Linked DNA regions of Ovis aries. The protein of the gene in region 1 purifies or fractionates together with the protein of each later gene. This does not show direct contact. Links are inferred from orthologs where the notes say so. Each region holds a gene or a part of one and is shown in the gene's direction. Other genes may lie near its edges.

What was found.
Region 2: the proteins of NCAPD3 (region 1) and SMC4 purify together in Homo sapiens (co-immunoprecipitation; 3 studies listed by BioGRID and IntAct, with this or other methods). This does not show direct contact. The link is inferred for Ovis aries from reciprocal best matches to the Homo sapiens genes NCAPD3 and SMC4.

Annotation. Positions count from the first base shown.
Region 1 is NC_056068.1:82,068,620-82,076,833, reverse strand, and holds the start of NCAPD3 (condensin-2 complex subunit D3), read left to right. Parts: upstream 1-3,487; 5' UTR 3,488-3,503; coding exon 3,504-3,567; intron 3,568-4,488; coding exon 4,489-4,643; intron 4,644-7,379; exon of another isoform or gene 7,380-7,468; coding exon 7,469-7,631; intron 7,632-8,214. Other genes in the region: VPS26B (vacuolar protein sorting-associated protein 26B), read right to left, coding at 2,416-2,638.
Region 2 is NC_056054.1:227,740,368-227,748,060, reverse strand, and holds part of SMC4 (structural maintenance of chromosomes protein 4), read left to right. Parts: intron 1-2,739; coding exon 2,740-2,904; intron 2,905-3,149; coding exon 3,150-3,277; intron 3,278-3,706; coding exon 3,707-3,847; intron 3,848-4,512; coding exon 4,513-4,663; intron 4,664-6,021; coding exon 6,022-6,186; intron 6,187-7,509; coding exon 7,510-7,693. UniProt on the Homo sapiens protein: Central component of the condensin complex, a complex required for conversion of interphase chromatin into mitotic-like condense chromosomes.

The DNA of each region.
Region 1 (8,214 bases):
AACTCGGGCGACCCCTCCTGCTGGGAGGAGACGCAGGGCATGCAGCAGGCGAGGCTGGCCTGACACGGAGATCCTGCGGGCAGTCAGCAAGGCAACCAGAGCTGACTCTTCGAAGGTCCAGCCCCTGGATGCAGCCTAACAGGGCTTACGAGCGCTTAGCTGATAAGTGCCGGAGCCTGCACTTCACACACATCGACGGTCTCCAGCCCTCACAAGGCCCTAGCGACATCTGCCCGTCACAGAGCCTCACGTAACCGGAGTAACCCCTGCTTCGGCCTTGGCCACACGCCAGGCTGTCCATCGAACGCACAGGCAGGACGTACACACTTCCAAACCGGACAGACAGTGGCTTATAAGAAGAAAAATTCTGAGTGAAACAAACAAGGCAGGTGGCTGGAGCACAACATCAACACCCTCACAGGCGGCTAGGGCAGGACCGCCGCCTGGCGCGTCACCGGGACAGCAGACCTCAGAGCCGGAGCGAAGCCCCGCCTGCCGCCTGCCGCCAGGAAAGCGAGGAAGCAGAAACCACGCGCCCGCAACGTGGGGACCGCACTCACCAGCCTCGCTCCAGTGCCCCGAGGCTGGGCCACCACAGGCACCACACGCTGCACAAAGCCTGGGCCCTAGACCCCCCACCATCTCCCAAGGGGATTCGGTTGCTGTCCCTGCCTTACAGGTGAGAGCACTGAGGCCCAGGGAGGGGACCGCTTCCCCAAGGCCACAGGGTGGACTCAGGGGCCCAGGAAGAGCTGTCGACGGAAGCAGAAGAGGCTCTGAGAAGTCTGGGGAGGGATGCTGCCCCGGGACGCGCGTGGACAGGAAGCCAGGCAGGGCAGCCAGCCCCCTTCCAGTTGGGCTGGAGGGAGGCCTTGCCAGCGCCTCAAACAGCCCATTCCACAACCGCTGGGGCAGGGGCGCTCTGGCTACCTTTCATGGACGGGGAGCGGTCACCCCCGGGAAGGATGGCACAGCTGCTGGCTAGACGTGCCCATGTGCACTCCTGATGCAGAGCCGCGGAATCCAGTGACAACCTTAACGTTATGCTATGGAAACACTCAATCTAGGGAGGCCTGAACTTCATCGCCTGACTCACGCCCAGCACAGAATGCTGGGGGTTCATCCTGTGTCCCCAGGAGCTCTTTGCTAGGAGTGATTTTAGCTTCCACAGATGTAAGACATTTCTGCGGTTCTGGCATCTGGCTGGTAGAGGCTGTGAAATGCAACCCCCGACAATGGAGAACGAGCAGGCCCACCGTGCCAACAGCACCGCTGTTGAGGGGCACTGCCGAAGTCGGAAGCGAGCGGGCAGAGAGCCTAAAGCCCACTCTCCAGCTCCAGGCCACTCATTCTGGGTTTAGAATAGCAACGGATGGGCTCCTAGGATCAGCTAGCCTTCGACCTGATTTCCGTTAACTTAAACAGCAGAAGCCAATACTTCAGGCCGGGCACTGAAGTGCTGAGCACACAGCCTTTCCCCAGGGCTCCCGTGTTTTCTGTCTCATCAAAATGGAGAACAGATTCTGTGCTGGGATCTCAGGGAGTGACAGAGAGCCTCTGAGGAGCGTTCCCAGGAAACCCCCTACACAGGACCAGAGCGGGCGGGGGCATGGGGCATGATTTCTCTGCTCGATGTCTTTTCAGCCAACTGTGGTATTTACTGTGACCCTACTCCTGAACTACTGACACAAACTATTTCAGAAGTACCTGTGAGTTTTAATAAACAGGAGAGTCCAAACAGAAGTGGAGACAACCCTGTGTTGACTGGCAGCTCCCAAACCTGTTTTTTATTGTCTAGCTGTAACGGCTAACAATCATGTTTGAAAACTGTTAGAGCCTTGGGAAATTTTGGCCACTTAGATCTGGGGCTTGGGAGCACCCTTTCTTTAAGAAGAGTGCCGCAGACTCTTCTAATCAGGAAGTCTTAGGGATGCAGCTTGTGTGGACGCAGGGCTGATGCCGGAGCCCGCGGGGATGCTTTCTCAAGCAGCTCCCAGCGAAGGTGCAGTAAGAGGCTGGTGGGCACAGACACTAGAGAGAGGGGGGCGGGCCACGCGGCGCTCGGAGTGGTGGTCACGACCTGCAGGCTGGCCCAGCTGGCACGGAAGCCGAGGCAGGCCCGCGGAGCTCGGACCCAGGGCGGCGGGCAACAGACCACAGGGCCTGGGGCGGAGTGGGGGACAGGGGGTCTGGAATTGCAGCCGTGCGTGCAGGGGTTAGAAGACAGGGGTTCGGGTCGCGCCAGGGGCTGGAGGGGGCGCAGCGGTCTCAAATCGCAGCAGGGGGTGCGGGGGCTGGGGGGCAGGGTTTCGGGTCGCGCCAGGGGTCTGGAGAGGGAGGTCAGAGGCTGGCTCGGGGTCACGGGTCGAGGGCGGGCGCAGGGGTGGGCCCGGGCGCGGCGGATCCCGCACTCACCGATCTGCCCGATGAACTCGACCTTGATGCCCTGGTGCTCCAGCCGCTTGTTGGGGTTCTTGAGAGCCAGGCTCACCTTCCCGGCCACCGTCTCGCCATCGTAGAAGAGGAAGTACTTGTCCTTCTTCCCATCCTCGGTCTTGTGCTCGGCCCGCCGCCTGCTATCCGCGTCGTTCAGCAGGATGTCCACATCCACGCTCTGCCCGAAGCCAAAGAAGCTCATGGCCCTGCCGGGCCGGCCGGGCCTGGGGAGGCCGGCGGGCTGGGCACGACGCCGACGCCCGCGCTCGCCGGGCCGGCGCGGTTCCGAGGGCGGGGCAGAGCGGGCGCGCCAGGCACCCGCCGGCCGCGGCCTGCGGAGCCCACCTCGGAGGCAGCAGCCCGGCCCCGGAGCAGCTTGCAGCGCGTCCGCGGCTCAGCCGGACGCGCCGGAGTGGCTGCGCGCATGCGCACGGCCCGCCCCCAGCGCGGCCGCCGCGCCCCCGGGGAGCTCGCACTGCGCCTGCGCGCCGCGAGCACCGCCCCACGCCCGGCAGCCGGCGGGGCGGCGGCGGCTCCTTCCTGGCTCCTGCCCGACCTGTCAAACACCAGTCCAGTAAAATTCAGACCTAACGGTGTCCTTTCTAAAAAAAAGAGCCCTTTCTGGCTGCCTTTTCTGCCTTTCCTGTGTTTAATCCGTTGACCGGTAGGCAGCTCCCCCACTCGGCTGTGTACGCCTCCGCTTGCTGAGTGACGGGTAAACGCGGCCCTTCGACAGGCCGCCTGACAGGGGGCAGAAGTGACAGTTACAACAGGAAGTGCCCTGCTTCAGCTTCTCTTCAGTGCGTCCGCCACGTAGGGAAAAGAAGCCGGAAGGCAGTATGCTTGGCTCGTTTCTTTAGCCTCACTTTGAAGCGACAGCTGAAAACCCCCAACTTCAGTTGCGTGGGCGGTGCTCTCTCCCTTTGCGCATCCGGCGGAAGGCCCTGCTGATTGGCTGCCGTCCTGCCAGCGGGGCGCGGTGATTGGTCGGTGCTGACCTTTGACGTCAGCGGGGCCTTCTGGGCGCGCGCGCCCGAGCAACTTTGAAAGTGAAGTGAGCGGCCGTCATGGAGGCTGGCGGGAACCTGGCGTGCGCCCTGCAGACCTGGTGCCCCCTGGACCTCAGCCAAGGTGAGGACGCGCCCGGGGCCCGGGTGCTCTGGGGGATGCTGGGCAAGGGCCGCGTCCTCCTTCTGCTCAGTACTCCTGTTTCTCGGCCTTGCCCCCGCGTCTGCGCGGACAGCCTCGCAAGTGCCGAGGCTTCGGCCGCGCGGCTGTTTGTTGGCCCGAGCTGACCTTCTGAACGTGGGGCCCAGGGGTGCGGCTGGAGCCTCCGGGCGCCCGTCGTCACTGAAGGGCAGTGGGTGTCCCCACCCGCCGCAGTCGCTGCTGGCCGCTGTCTCGAGGCTGCGTTCCATTCCGCGGCATCTCCGTAGCCGGCAGTCATTTTTTTTTGAGTCATTTCATTTTGTTTCCCTCACCTGTCCTTTTCCACTGTACACTTTATTTGGATTTATTAGCTAGTGACTCAGACGGTAAAGAATCTGCCTGCAGCGTACGAGACACGGGTTCGAGCCCTGAGTCGCCAAGATCCTCTGGAGAAGGGTAGGGCAACCCACTCCAGTGTTCTTGTCTGCAGAATCCCGCAGACAGAGGAGCCTGGCGGGCTACAGTCCGTGGGGTCACAGACAGTGGGACGCGACTGCGCGACTTCAGCTTCGTTATAAGACTTTCACAAAGGGGCAGCTGAGACAGCTTTTTATTACCTGTTCTCTAGCTTGAACATATGGGAAGGCTGGGTCTTCCCCAAAACGGTTAACATCTGTAAAGTGTTTTCCTACTTCATGTTTTTAGAGGATGGCCAGCATAATAGCCAGCTGTCAGTTTAATGAGTATACAGATTTTTCTAACCCTTTCTGCTTCTCTCTTCATTCTGCCTCACCTGTGTGGTATGACTTGTGCCCAGAAAACTGTTCTATTCTTGAATGTATTTAGAGTCTAAAGCTAACTGCTACAGAACATTAGTTGACTGTAGTTGCATTTTCCTACTAGAATGGGTGGATGGAGTATGGGAACTGGAATTCACGGAGACCGAGCCTCTGGATGCCGGCATAGAAGCAGAGATCGTGCAGACTGGACTGAGCGCATTCACAGAGCTTTACAGCGCAATGCTACCTTTTGCTACTGAAAAACGTGACGCTGCTGAGGTAAAAGAGAGGAAAAAAAAAAAAACAAGCTAGCCATTTCGTTGTTAGAAGTGTCAGGTAAACCCCGGTATCATCTAGAGCTTGGTCTCTTTGGTATGCAGTGCAGAAGGAAGGAAGAGCGGTGTAAAGAATGCGGTTCACTTACTGGGATGGCCTCATAACCGTCTGGGATCACTTACTGGGATGGCCTCATAACTGTCTGGGGTCGCTTACTGGGATGGCCTCATAACCATCTGGGATAACTTACTGGGATGGCCTCATAACCGTCTGGGATCACTTACTGGGATGGCCTCATGACTGTCTGGGATCGCCTCATAACCGTCTGGGATCACTTACTGGGATGGCCTCATAACTGTCTGGGATAACTTACTGGGATGGCCTCATAACCGTCTGGGATAACTTACTGGGATGGCCTCATAACCGTCCTCCCAAGTTATTAGTCTGTGATTCTTTCCGTGTCATGAGCATTGTTAACGAGCAAATTAAAGGAAAAGAGTAAAGGCCAAGGTAAGGATGAAAACCAATAAGCGAAATAAGAAAAAATGGCCAAGGACAGTGCAGTTAACAACTCAGGATGCCTTTGCTTTAAGGAAATTGAATGTTGATCTGAGAAGTGATTAGTTGAACTAAGAAAGGAAAAAAAAGAGTTGTTTTAAATGGAGTTCTACGTAGTGTCTGTTACGCTTTAGGTCATAAACTTCTTTTCAAAAAACTGAAGGACTAGAAAGCAGAACAAAGAATACTTATGTATTAATATCTCCGAAAGATTTAAACTTAAAAAATATTTCTGTTATTAGTTTCAGGTAGCTGTTCAGAAATTAAATCGACCTGTTAAATACTCGTTAAGCGTAATGCTGAGTACCACGTGCAGTACCCAGGAGCGTAACATGGTGAGGGTACAGAGCCTCTCCCTACAGGGGGTTGCAGGAGAGGGGAGAATTAAGCTCTGGGAGCGTGCACTGTCATTGCTCTGGCCAGAGCCTGTGCAGTGACCACATCCACGGGCCTGAAGAAGCACGGGCCACCAGCTCTATGTGTTAGAAACTTCTGTAGGACACGTTAAATGCCATCTTGGCTTGCCTGGAAAAGGCAGCTTGCTGAGGTTGAGGCTGGGAAGGTCCCAGAAAGGTAGCTGGCTGGAGGCACATCTTCACAAATGGCTGGAGTGCTGACCAGTAATGAGGATTCCAGGGCAGCCTTGGGAGGGATCCTCACAGTGGGGATGTACAGCAAGTCCGAGGGGGTGGGGCAGGGTGGAGGCCACAGGACAGCTGTGAGTGGGGTCTGTGGTAGGCTTCTGGAGTGAGGTGTTTGCTGTCCACAAGGTTCAGGTCTAAGCGTCATCCCTAGACTAAACCGCTTGTCCTCCCATCTGCCTCTTGGAGGAAGGGGTTCTAGTGTGCAGTAGACCCAGGAACATGAAGAGTGCTGTTTCAGTGGGTGTTCTTAACCAAACACAGACTTAAGGGGGGAATGCTGTCCCCAGGGAGCTCCCTAGGGACATTATGACTGACCCCTGAATCCCATGGTTTTGGCTGCACAGGCCCACTTCTGTGCAGAGTTTTCAGTAGTACCTACAGGACTGCATGGTCCCAGGAGTTTCAGTCCCTGGATGCAGAGCCGCAGATGTGAAGGACCTGTGTCTGTGGAGGGCCGGCTGTGAATTACGTGAGGATTTCCCACTCGCTCCGTGTCGTGCAATAGTCAGTTGTGTTTTGCTCATTGATTTTTTGAAAAATGTGTGTTGTGGTGTGGTCTGGGTTACAGTTGTGGAAATTGGGGTGGAGGGCTAAAAACTGGGGACTCTTTTCAAATAGAGTTAATAGAGTTTTGTGAACTGGGTCTTTGTCAGGTATGAAATGCTTCCAAGGTGATTGGGTCCCCCAGGGTCACAGTTCCAGGCAGCGGGAGGGGAGCTGAGGTGGCCTTAGAAATGAAGATGTAACTGCTTTCTTCCACAAGCTTCGTGGTGAAGGAAAGAGGTTGTCGAGGTCTGATTTCTTGAGCTTCTGTGGGCTTCTGTTTTTTAAGGTGGCCCATAGTGAGCCATATTTCGCTCCTACTGTTTGCTTTACTCAAATAAGCTATTTCCTCCTCATGTCTATAAGAGGGGAAAGCGTGAATAGTGATCAAAGTAATGAAAATATGGTTTGTGGTCTAAGGCTTACTTCCTCTCCTACCGAGGCTGTTTCTGCAGTCTGTTGAGCGAGACACTCACAGGTTTTCCTCTCCTGCTCCCATTGCCCACAAAACATTTTGACTTAAAAAAAGTTGCTCTGATTTTTTTAGTTAGTAATTAGAGTAATAAATGGATTGAGATACATTTAACATAGATGGAGGGGTGACTTGTCTGAGTAATCACTGACAGAGGTGTCCCCAGAGTCTTAGTGTAGCTTTCAGGTGTAGTAATTTCAGAAATACATACGCTTCAAACTTACCCAAAGTTATTTTGCAAGTTTAATTAAGATTCTTGTATAGTTTCTTATCTTTGTGATTTTCGTTTACTTTTTCTTTTATTGGCTGAGCCACTCAGCTTGTGGGATCTTAGTTCCAAACCAGTAATGGAACCCAGACTCTCCCCAGTGAAGGCATGGAGTCCTAACCACTGGACCACCAGGAAACTCCTCAACTTTGTAAATTTTGAATAATACACTTTTAAATGTTCTGTTTTAGTCCCTTTGAAAATGGCAGACGTTTATAATTAGGAGGCAGAATGGTCTGTTCGTTTTTTTATAGGGCACTAAGCACTCAGAAGAATCAGAAACAGCAAGAGGAGACTCTCACAGCGCTCTAACGACTGGTGCTTACCGTTTGCCCTCCCCTAGAGCATTTGGACCTTCTTCGTGGAGAACAGAATTTCCCACAATGCGCTGATGGCCTTGTTTCACCACTTCGTTTATAAGGCCCTTAAGAAAAATGTCAGTGCTCAGCAGCAGGAATTTGGCCTTCACGCCGCCGGGCTGTATTTTCTGCTGTTGGAAGTACCAGGTATGCACGTTTGGTGTGATGGGGCAGGCCTTCTGTTTGTAATTTGTCTGCTTGGTTTTGAACTGTTACATCAATGCTTTGTCCTTGCTGGGAGGTTAGGTGACAGTGAATCTGTGAAGCCCATGGTCTGTCACAGGTGTTCAGAAAGCTCCCCTGTTTTCCTGTAAATGTGGCTTCGGATGTTACCGTGCTAAGTCTGTAACCCAGCACACAGTCCCAGAGGGGTAAGGCTGGAGGGGCGTGCCCCGTGCCTTCGTGGTGTCCCTGCCTTCTCACTCCTGTCCAGCCTGAGAACAGTGCTGGTTGGAGGGCTGCTGCTCTTCCCGCTGTGTCGTGTGGACGGTCGGTGGGCTGTCCTCACCTGCAGGGCTGAGCACAGCTAGTCACAGTGAGGGAGCCCAGGGAGGAGTGTGTCTGGGATGGTGCCCCACCTCGTCCAGGCGGGACCCGCCCCGAGCCCAGGGCAGGAGACGGTGCGGCTGAGGAGTCAGCTGCAGCTGTGGGACTGCGAGTCCACCAGAGAGAAAATCAGGGTCAGTCAACCTGCTGCTTGTAATTGCTTATGTCGGTGCCTTTGTAGTAA
Region 2 (7,693 bases), on another chromosome or scaffold:
TTTGTGATTTGGAGCTTTCAACGTGACTTCAAATTCAGGTTTTACATTATTATTAAAATGTATTGAGGTTATTGCTTTAAACTAAAACTACTTTGTAATTTCACATGGGATAGGTATGTTTTCTGAAATGAGTGGTCTTCTAAGCATAGACTGTCAGCCCTTAGATTATACATGAAATGACACAAATTGGAAAGGTAAGGAAGAAAACAAATAGCAGGTGGTAAGGCAGTCAGAGAACATCAAGGAACAGAACCACAAGAAAGGTCTCAGGTTGTCATTGAAATACCACAACAGTCCTAATAGTCATATGACAGGCAGAGGCCTAAATGTTCTAATGACCTGTTGATTCAGTAGTGTTAATTGATAATAACCATTTTTTAATGGATCCCATATAACAAATGAAAACAATGTTATATGGGACTTGAGATGGAAATGTTGATTCATAAATGTCCTTTTCTTTCACTTGAAAGTGTTTTTACTGCTGGGCAGCCTTGTTAGAATGAAAAGAAATCAGAGCTATATATCTTTAATTTTAACTGGAAAGGGAGGAACAAGTGACCAAAAACAAGCAACCACTATGCTTTGTTTGAAGCTAGGCAGTCTCCTAATAGTAGTATTCCATCACTTTAGTAAATAGTTTGGCCTGAAAAGTATAATACCTTTAGAAATATTTTTTATGATTGTTACACCAAGTCATAACTTCTGGTTATCTGAAAAATGTATGCCTAAATAATACCTTATGTGATTTGACTCAGATACGTAAGTTCTCTTGGCATGGCTTTTCATTTATCTTATTGTAAGTGTTCAGCTATTCAAATCAGATCAGAATGTTAGACTATTTGGTGTCAGATATTTGGATTATAAACACAGACATAAAAGAGTTAAACTGACTACTTCCAGGTTAGTGATTCTCAGCTGGGAGTACTTGTTGCTTTCTCTCTCACCCAGTACATGTAGCATTGTCTGGAGACAGTTTAGGCTGTTAACAGCTGGGGGAAGCCTCATGCTGCTGGCATCTAGTGGGTAGGGTCAGAGATGTTATTAAACATCTTATGATACTCAGCATAGTTCCCCACAACAAAGTATTCAGCCCAAAATGTCAGCAATGTTGCTGTTGATAAACTTTGTTTAGATAACAACTGAATAAGTCTTGGCTTGTACAATGGCTAGAGTCTCACCTATTGTGATCCAAAGCTTTAGATACTCTTCCAGGCTTAAGTTCTGTATAAAACCTAAAGCTTGCCTAAAATATTTGGAAAGAACTGATAATTGAAAGCAGATATTTCAGTTATATAAATTGAAATATTTATATAAAAATATTTTATATAAATGTCTACATGTTTTAGTTTAAACACTAATATTTAGCTAAATCTAATTCATACATACCCAAGGTTACAGAGAAATCTAAATGACAGGCTCTTAGGATAACATTTCACCTTGTGTTTTATAATCATGTGCTGTTTCAAAATACAGAAAACTGGTCATCTATAAATTTTTTTTTAATTTTGATTTTTAATGAGTAGATTCTACCCCCTCCAACCCCCCCGTTATGGGGTCTTAGATCCCCAACTGGAGATCAGACCAGTGCCCCCTGCAGTGGAAGCTCAGAACCCTAACCACTGGACCGCCAGGGAAGTCCCTAATAAGTAGATTTTTCAAGGAGTTGTTTTATCCTTTCTTGTTTGATCTTTAGTTTTTTTCTACTGTATATAATTATATTGAAGATTTTGGAAATATGATGCTTTGTCATTAGCAAGTTTTAACCCAGATTTTTAAGTTTCATTTATAAATACTGTAGATACTTAAATTGAGACAGAATATATGCCCCTTTTAAAAAATTTTTTTTTCAGGATAACATTTTGTGCTGTTTTGCAGAAATAAAGGGGTATGTTTTTAGTTTTCTACTTGTCTGTCCCTTTTCTTCTGTTGTAATAAAGAGTACAGGCAGACTACTAGTGTGGAGTAAAGTAGCATTTTGCCTGAGCATATTCAGACAAAATTTTCTCCCCCATCAAGTTAAATGGCTGCCTTTCAGTCAGCCTTGAAAGTTACTGACTGTACTTTTTTCGTTTCTCTTTGTAACTGAACTGCATAAATGCAAATATATAATGTTAATCTTAGATTTTAACTATAGTTTAAAAGTTGTTATAATAATAATTGCAAGCAAAAGTTTTCCAGTGTTGTATATACCAAGACCTTTAGTTTGCAGTCAGTTTTCCTGTTACTACCATGAGAGAAAATAGTATTTCCTTTTTCGTTTAATGGCTTGTTTGTTTGTTTAGAAAGTAAGAACATCATTACTTGCATTGTTATATACTTTTATTTATGTATTTATTTTTGGCTGTGCTGGGTCTTTGTTGCTTTGCACAGGCTTTCTCTAGTTGCAGTGAATGGGAGCTACTCTAGTGTTGTGCAGGCTTCCCATTGCAGTAGCTTCTCTTGTTGCAAAGCTGGTCTCTGGAGCACAGGCTCAGTAGTTGGCAGCACACGGACTTAGTTGCTCTGAGGAATGTGGGATCTTCCCAGACCAGGGATCAAACTCAAGTCTCTGGCAGGAGGCTTCTTTACCACTGATCCATCAGGGAAGTCCTATTTGCATCTTACTAAAATCTCTTTATGCTACTGATTCATATCATTTAGTTTAATGTTGGATTTGCTAATTGACTTGTTTCTAGTTCTTACTTGAGGCTGATGTAGCCAAACATATACAGTGAGTGTGAAAAATTACTTTTTTTAAAGGGTGAAGTTGAACAAATTGCTATGATGAAACCAAAAGGCCAGACTGAACACGATGAGGGTATGCTTGAATATTTAGAAGATATAATTGGTTCTGGACGACTGAATGAACCTATTAAAGTCTTGTGTCGGAGAGTTGAAATATTAAATGAACACAGAGGAGAGAAGGTGAATCTTCCATAGACTTTTGTAAACCAGAATGTTTCATTGATTAACAGATTTTACTAAGCCAGATAATTCAAGTTATGATAGATCATAATTGTTTAAGCAAAGTTTTATGTTTTCCTTATTAATATTTCAGAGAAACATTGTTTTATGAATGTAGTTTGTTTTTATCTAATGTTGGCATATTTTAAATTCAGACTGTTCAATACACTTAACATGAACAATTTCTATCCTTTTAACTTTTGTAGTTAAACAGAGTTAAAATGGTAGAAAAGGAAAAAGATGCCTTAGAAGGAGAGAAAAACATAGCCATTGAATTTCTTACCTTGGAAAATGAAATATTTAGAAAAAAGAATCACGTTTGTCAATATTACATGTAAGTACCTTAATTTATCAACTTTTGTATTAATCTAATCTGTTCTCTCTTCCTGTATTAGAGAAATGTGAAGACTGAAGTAAAAAAAAAAATTCTGCAAGTGGTTGTGATGAATTTATTAAATTAGAGTTTTTGATATAGTAGTGAAGTTAATTTTTAACTATCCTACTTGAAGTTGGGTTCACAAATATCACTATGCTTAATACTTAATAGTTTTACTTATAAATTCTTTTTAATTCATTTAATAGCAGATCTAATTGTGTTTATATGGATCCTATTTTGGTCCTAATGCTAGCTTTGACCCTGGGTTGGTTTCTTCCTTCCCCCTCCAAAGACCTAGATATAGAAACAGCTGAATTTACTTAAAATAGTTTCAGACTTTTTAAAATGGTACTTTAGGATCTCTGATAGCTTTTTTTCTCTCTCTAGTTATGATCTGCAGAAACGAATTGCTGAAATGGAAACTCAAAAGGAAAAAATTAATGAAGATACCAAAGAAATTAATGAGAAGAGCAATATACTGTCAAATGAAATGAAAGCTAAGAATAAAGCTGTAAAAGATATAGAGAAGTAATAATCTTTTGGAAAGTACTAAAAGTAGATTATTTTATTACATGTATGTGTGTGTGTCTATATATAAACTTAATACAGCATATGAAGGCAATATATTTGCCAGCATATAAAATATTTTAAATGGTTTCTTTTTGCAACCAAAAAACTGAACTGCGTTTCCAGTTTATCACAGGTTTGAGTGCCCAACTCTGGTCTTTAATAGTGGAGAATGCTACCCCCTAGTGGCAGAACCCAATAATACAAAACATCATTGCAAAAATAGGTATTTAACCTGACAGGTTAGTTGTCTTAAAGTTGTATCATTACTTTTTTCATGGCAATCTTCAGTGATACCAGTATCCCTTACCTATTCAGTTTTCGTTTTTTTATTCTTTAAAATGAGTTTTGCCTGTTTTTTTTTAATGGTCAAATTTTTATATACCTAGACATCATAGTCACTATTTCCAATCTAGCTTTGAAGGACAAAATAACCCATAACCACACATTTTAACAACTTCTTCAAATATGGATGGAGAGGAGGGTTAGCTTGAAGCAGGTAGTATTAGGATCCTACCTTATAAGAACTTGGTACACTTACATAGTGGTTCAAGCAAGGTATATAAAGTCACTTTAAAATATCTGAATATCCAAAATAGTGACTGATAATTTTCTTACTTTGCTAGGAAGCTGAGTAAAATTACAAAATTTATTGAGGAGAACAAAGAAAAATTTACAAAACTAGATTTGGAAGATGTTCAAGTTAGGGAAAAATTGAAACATGCTACAAGTAAAGCCAAAAAACTAGAGAAACAACTTCAAAAAGATAAAGAAAAGGTAGGTTATGTGGGGGAAATGCTTAATATTTCATGTCTGTCGGATGTAGTTCTTATTTTTCATGAATGTTCTTGCCCCTTAGAAAATGAATTGGAATTCTGAATGTTAAGGGCTTCAGGATTTATCTCTGAACCTAATTCTCCCCCTCACTCACTATGGAAATCCTGCATTCATTGACTTTGAGTTTTAGAGCTTATGTATCTGATGTACATTGTTGGAGAATTGTTTACCAAATCAGTAATTCTATTTTGTTGACAAAATAATCTTTCTATAATATATGGTTTAAAAAGAGGTTTGGGGCTACATAGCATAGACTTTTAAAAGTAGTACCTTTGTCTATAGAAATCAAGTTAAGAATATCAGCAGGAGTTTCTCTTTAGAAAGGAGGGAAGAGGAAGCCATAATTTATAGCAAGGGGTTGATTAGCTAGTTTGAAGATTTAAAAGATGATGAACTTTAGACCAGAGTGCCTAATTTGCTGGGACCCAGACTAATAATTAATTTGGAGCATTTCAAATATATTCACAGTTTAATCAGGTATTATAGAGGCAACACTGAAAGCCCCTCCCCTCAAAAAAGTTTTGTACCATATATTTACATGGTACTTATAGGCTCTGCTTTACCTTATAAGCAAATGCATTTATTCACAAAATACTTTGTGTTACAGTAGTAGCACATCTTATATGAATCAGTGTTTGAGGGATAATGTTTTGGGAAGTGTTTAATTTCTCCCGTTATAGATAACCAGATTAAGCAAAATACCATGGATGTCATTGTAACCCCTAAATTGGACAGAGTAAGCCAAATGTAACTTAAGTAGTTATTAACCGTTGGACACCAGCTGTGAAAGAGTGATTATTACTGGAAGGTATTAATGGAATAAAATACGAGTCCCACATAGTGACTCTGAAAGGGTAAAGTTGGGAAAGATCTTAGGATTTGAGAGAGACTAGGGGGTGTAAAGTTGTAATGTACCATGTACCATGAAGGGTACTTAAGGAATTACATGTACTCAGACCATGTTCGTAGGTGAAGAAAGTTAATTACAGCATAAAGTTAGAGCAGAAGGAAGAAAGATATAAAGCCCAGCCAAGGAGAATTGTCTTTTGTAAGGAATCAAGAACTCATAGAATTATCTTTACCTGATTCTATGAATTAGACTGAGAATATAGAAATTATAGCATATGGTTAAGGAAGTATACTTGCTAAAGCTAGCAGGTTCAAACCTAATTACAATGAAAACTGCAAAGATCTAGAAGATCTTGAGAAATGCTTTTAAATAAGTCAAATATTAATGGTATTGGATAGCCTAAAGATACATGCTCCTAGTAACTTTTTAATTTGTTTTATAATCTTAGGTTGAAGAATTTAAAGGTATACCTGCCAAGAGTGAGAATATCATAAGGGAGACAACAACTAAAAACAATGCCCTTGAGAAAGAAAAAGAAAAAGAAGAAGAAAAATTAAAGGAAGTTATGGATAGCCTTAAGCAGGAAACACAAGGCCTTCAAAAAGAAAAAGAAGTAAGATTTCTTTTATCAGTTGGTGTTTATTTTGATGGCTTTTTTCCCCTCCTATCTTAAAGATTATTTTTATAGTAATAGTAAAAAAATGAACTATTAGAATGAAAAGTTTGGGCTTTTATCTAACATCCCCAAAAAACGGTCAACCTAGACTCTCCTTTTTTTGTTTTCTGCTTTCTCATTTTAAAAAGACGTTAACCGAGAATGAGAACTTAAAGTGGTAGAAGAAAATGCATATCACATACTTTGCTTTATGTGCTTTTCTCTATTAATGTTGGTTTAGTCATCACGTTTTCTCTTCTCTTAAATTATTTTCTTGGTAATTTAATTGCTTGGGACCACACTAACCATAGGTCGACATCTCCCTTCTTTACTTTTGTAGCTCTTGTGTAATAGTTTTAAAGCTATGGCTCTTGTGTTCATTCTTGGTTGCTTAAGTCAGTTACATATAAGATCTTTGTAAATTATACCTCAGTGAAGTGTTTCGGGGTTTCTCGACAGACTAACTATAAATTGATTCTGTTTTAAAATATGGACATGTTCTGATATCATCTATAAGAGTTTATAAGTAGGATGCCTATGTGATAAAGTGGCTAAGTATCATACAGTCACTTTCCTAATAGAATACTTTAAGATCAGTTTTTCACATTTGCTCATCTCATGTATATCAAGTAATCCCATGTGCCTTGGCATCCTAGGTTAGTGACAAAGCCAGGACTCATATCTAGGTATCTTTGGAGCTAAAAACAGGCTCTGCTACTTATGAGTGAGTGCATGACTTTGAACAAGTTATTTAAATCTGACCTCAGTTTCCTCAAAATGGGCATAATGATGATTGTAGGAATGTTGGGTTAAGGAATTGATACTTACAAAACATTCAGGATAGTACTTTGAACATATATTCTACAGTAGTGTGGGTGTGTGTGTTGATGGTCATGATTTTTTGTCATTTTAGTCTCTAAATTGAGATAGAAGGAAATGGCAGCCCACTCCAGTATTTTTGCCTGGAGAATCCCAGGGACGGAGGAGCCTGGCGGGCTGCCGTCTATGGGGTCACACGGAATGGGACACAACTGAAGCGACTTAGCAGTAGCAGCTGTTAACCTCATTAAGCTGTTATTAAATCAGTTGGGGAAAGACTTTATATACCATAAACATTCACAACTGGGGAAAAACTGTTAGTCCATTCACTTATGAGAGTTATTTCTATATATTGTGCTTACATAATCTATGAAGTTAAATTTAAAATGTATGGTTTCCACTTCGGTTTAGGTTTGAAAACACGTATTTCAGATTAAGTGGGGGCCTGTCATATTTTAACAGAGTCGAGAGAAAGAACTTATGGACTTCAGCAAATCAGTAAATGAAGCACGTTCAAAGATGGATGTAGCTCAATCAGAACTTGATATCTATCTCAGTCGACATAATACTGCAGTGTCTCAATTAAGTAAAGCCAAAGAAGCTCTAATGGCAGCTTCTGAGACTCTCAAAGAAAGGAAAGCTGCAA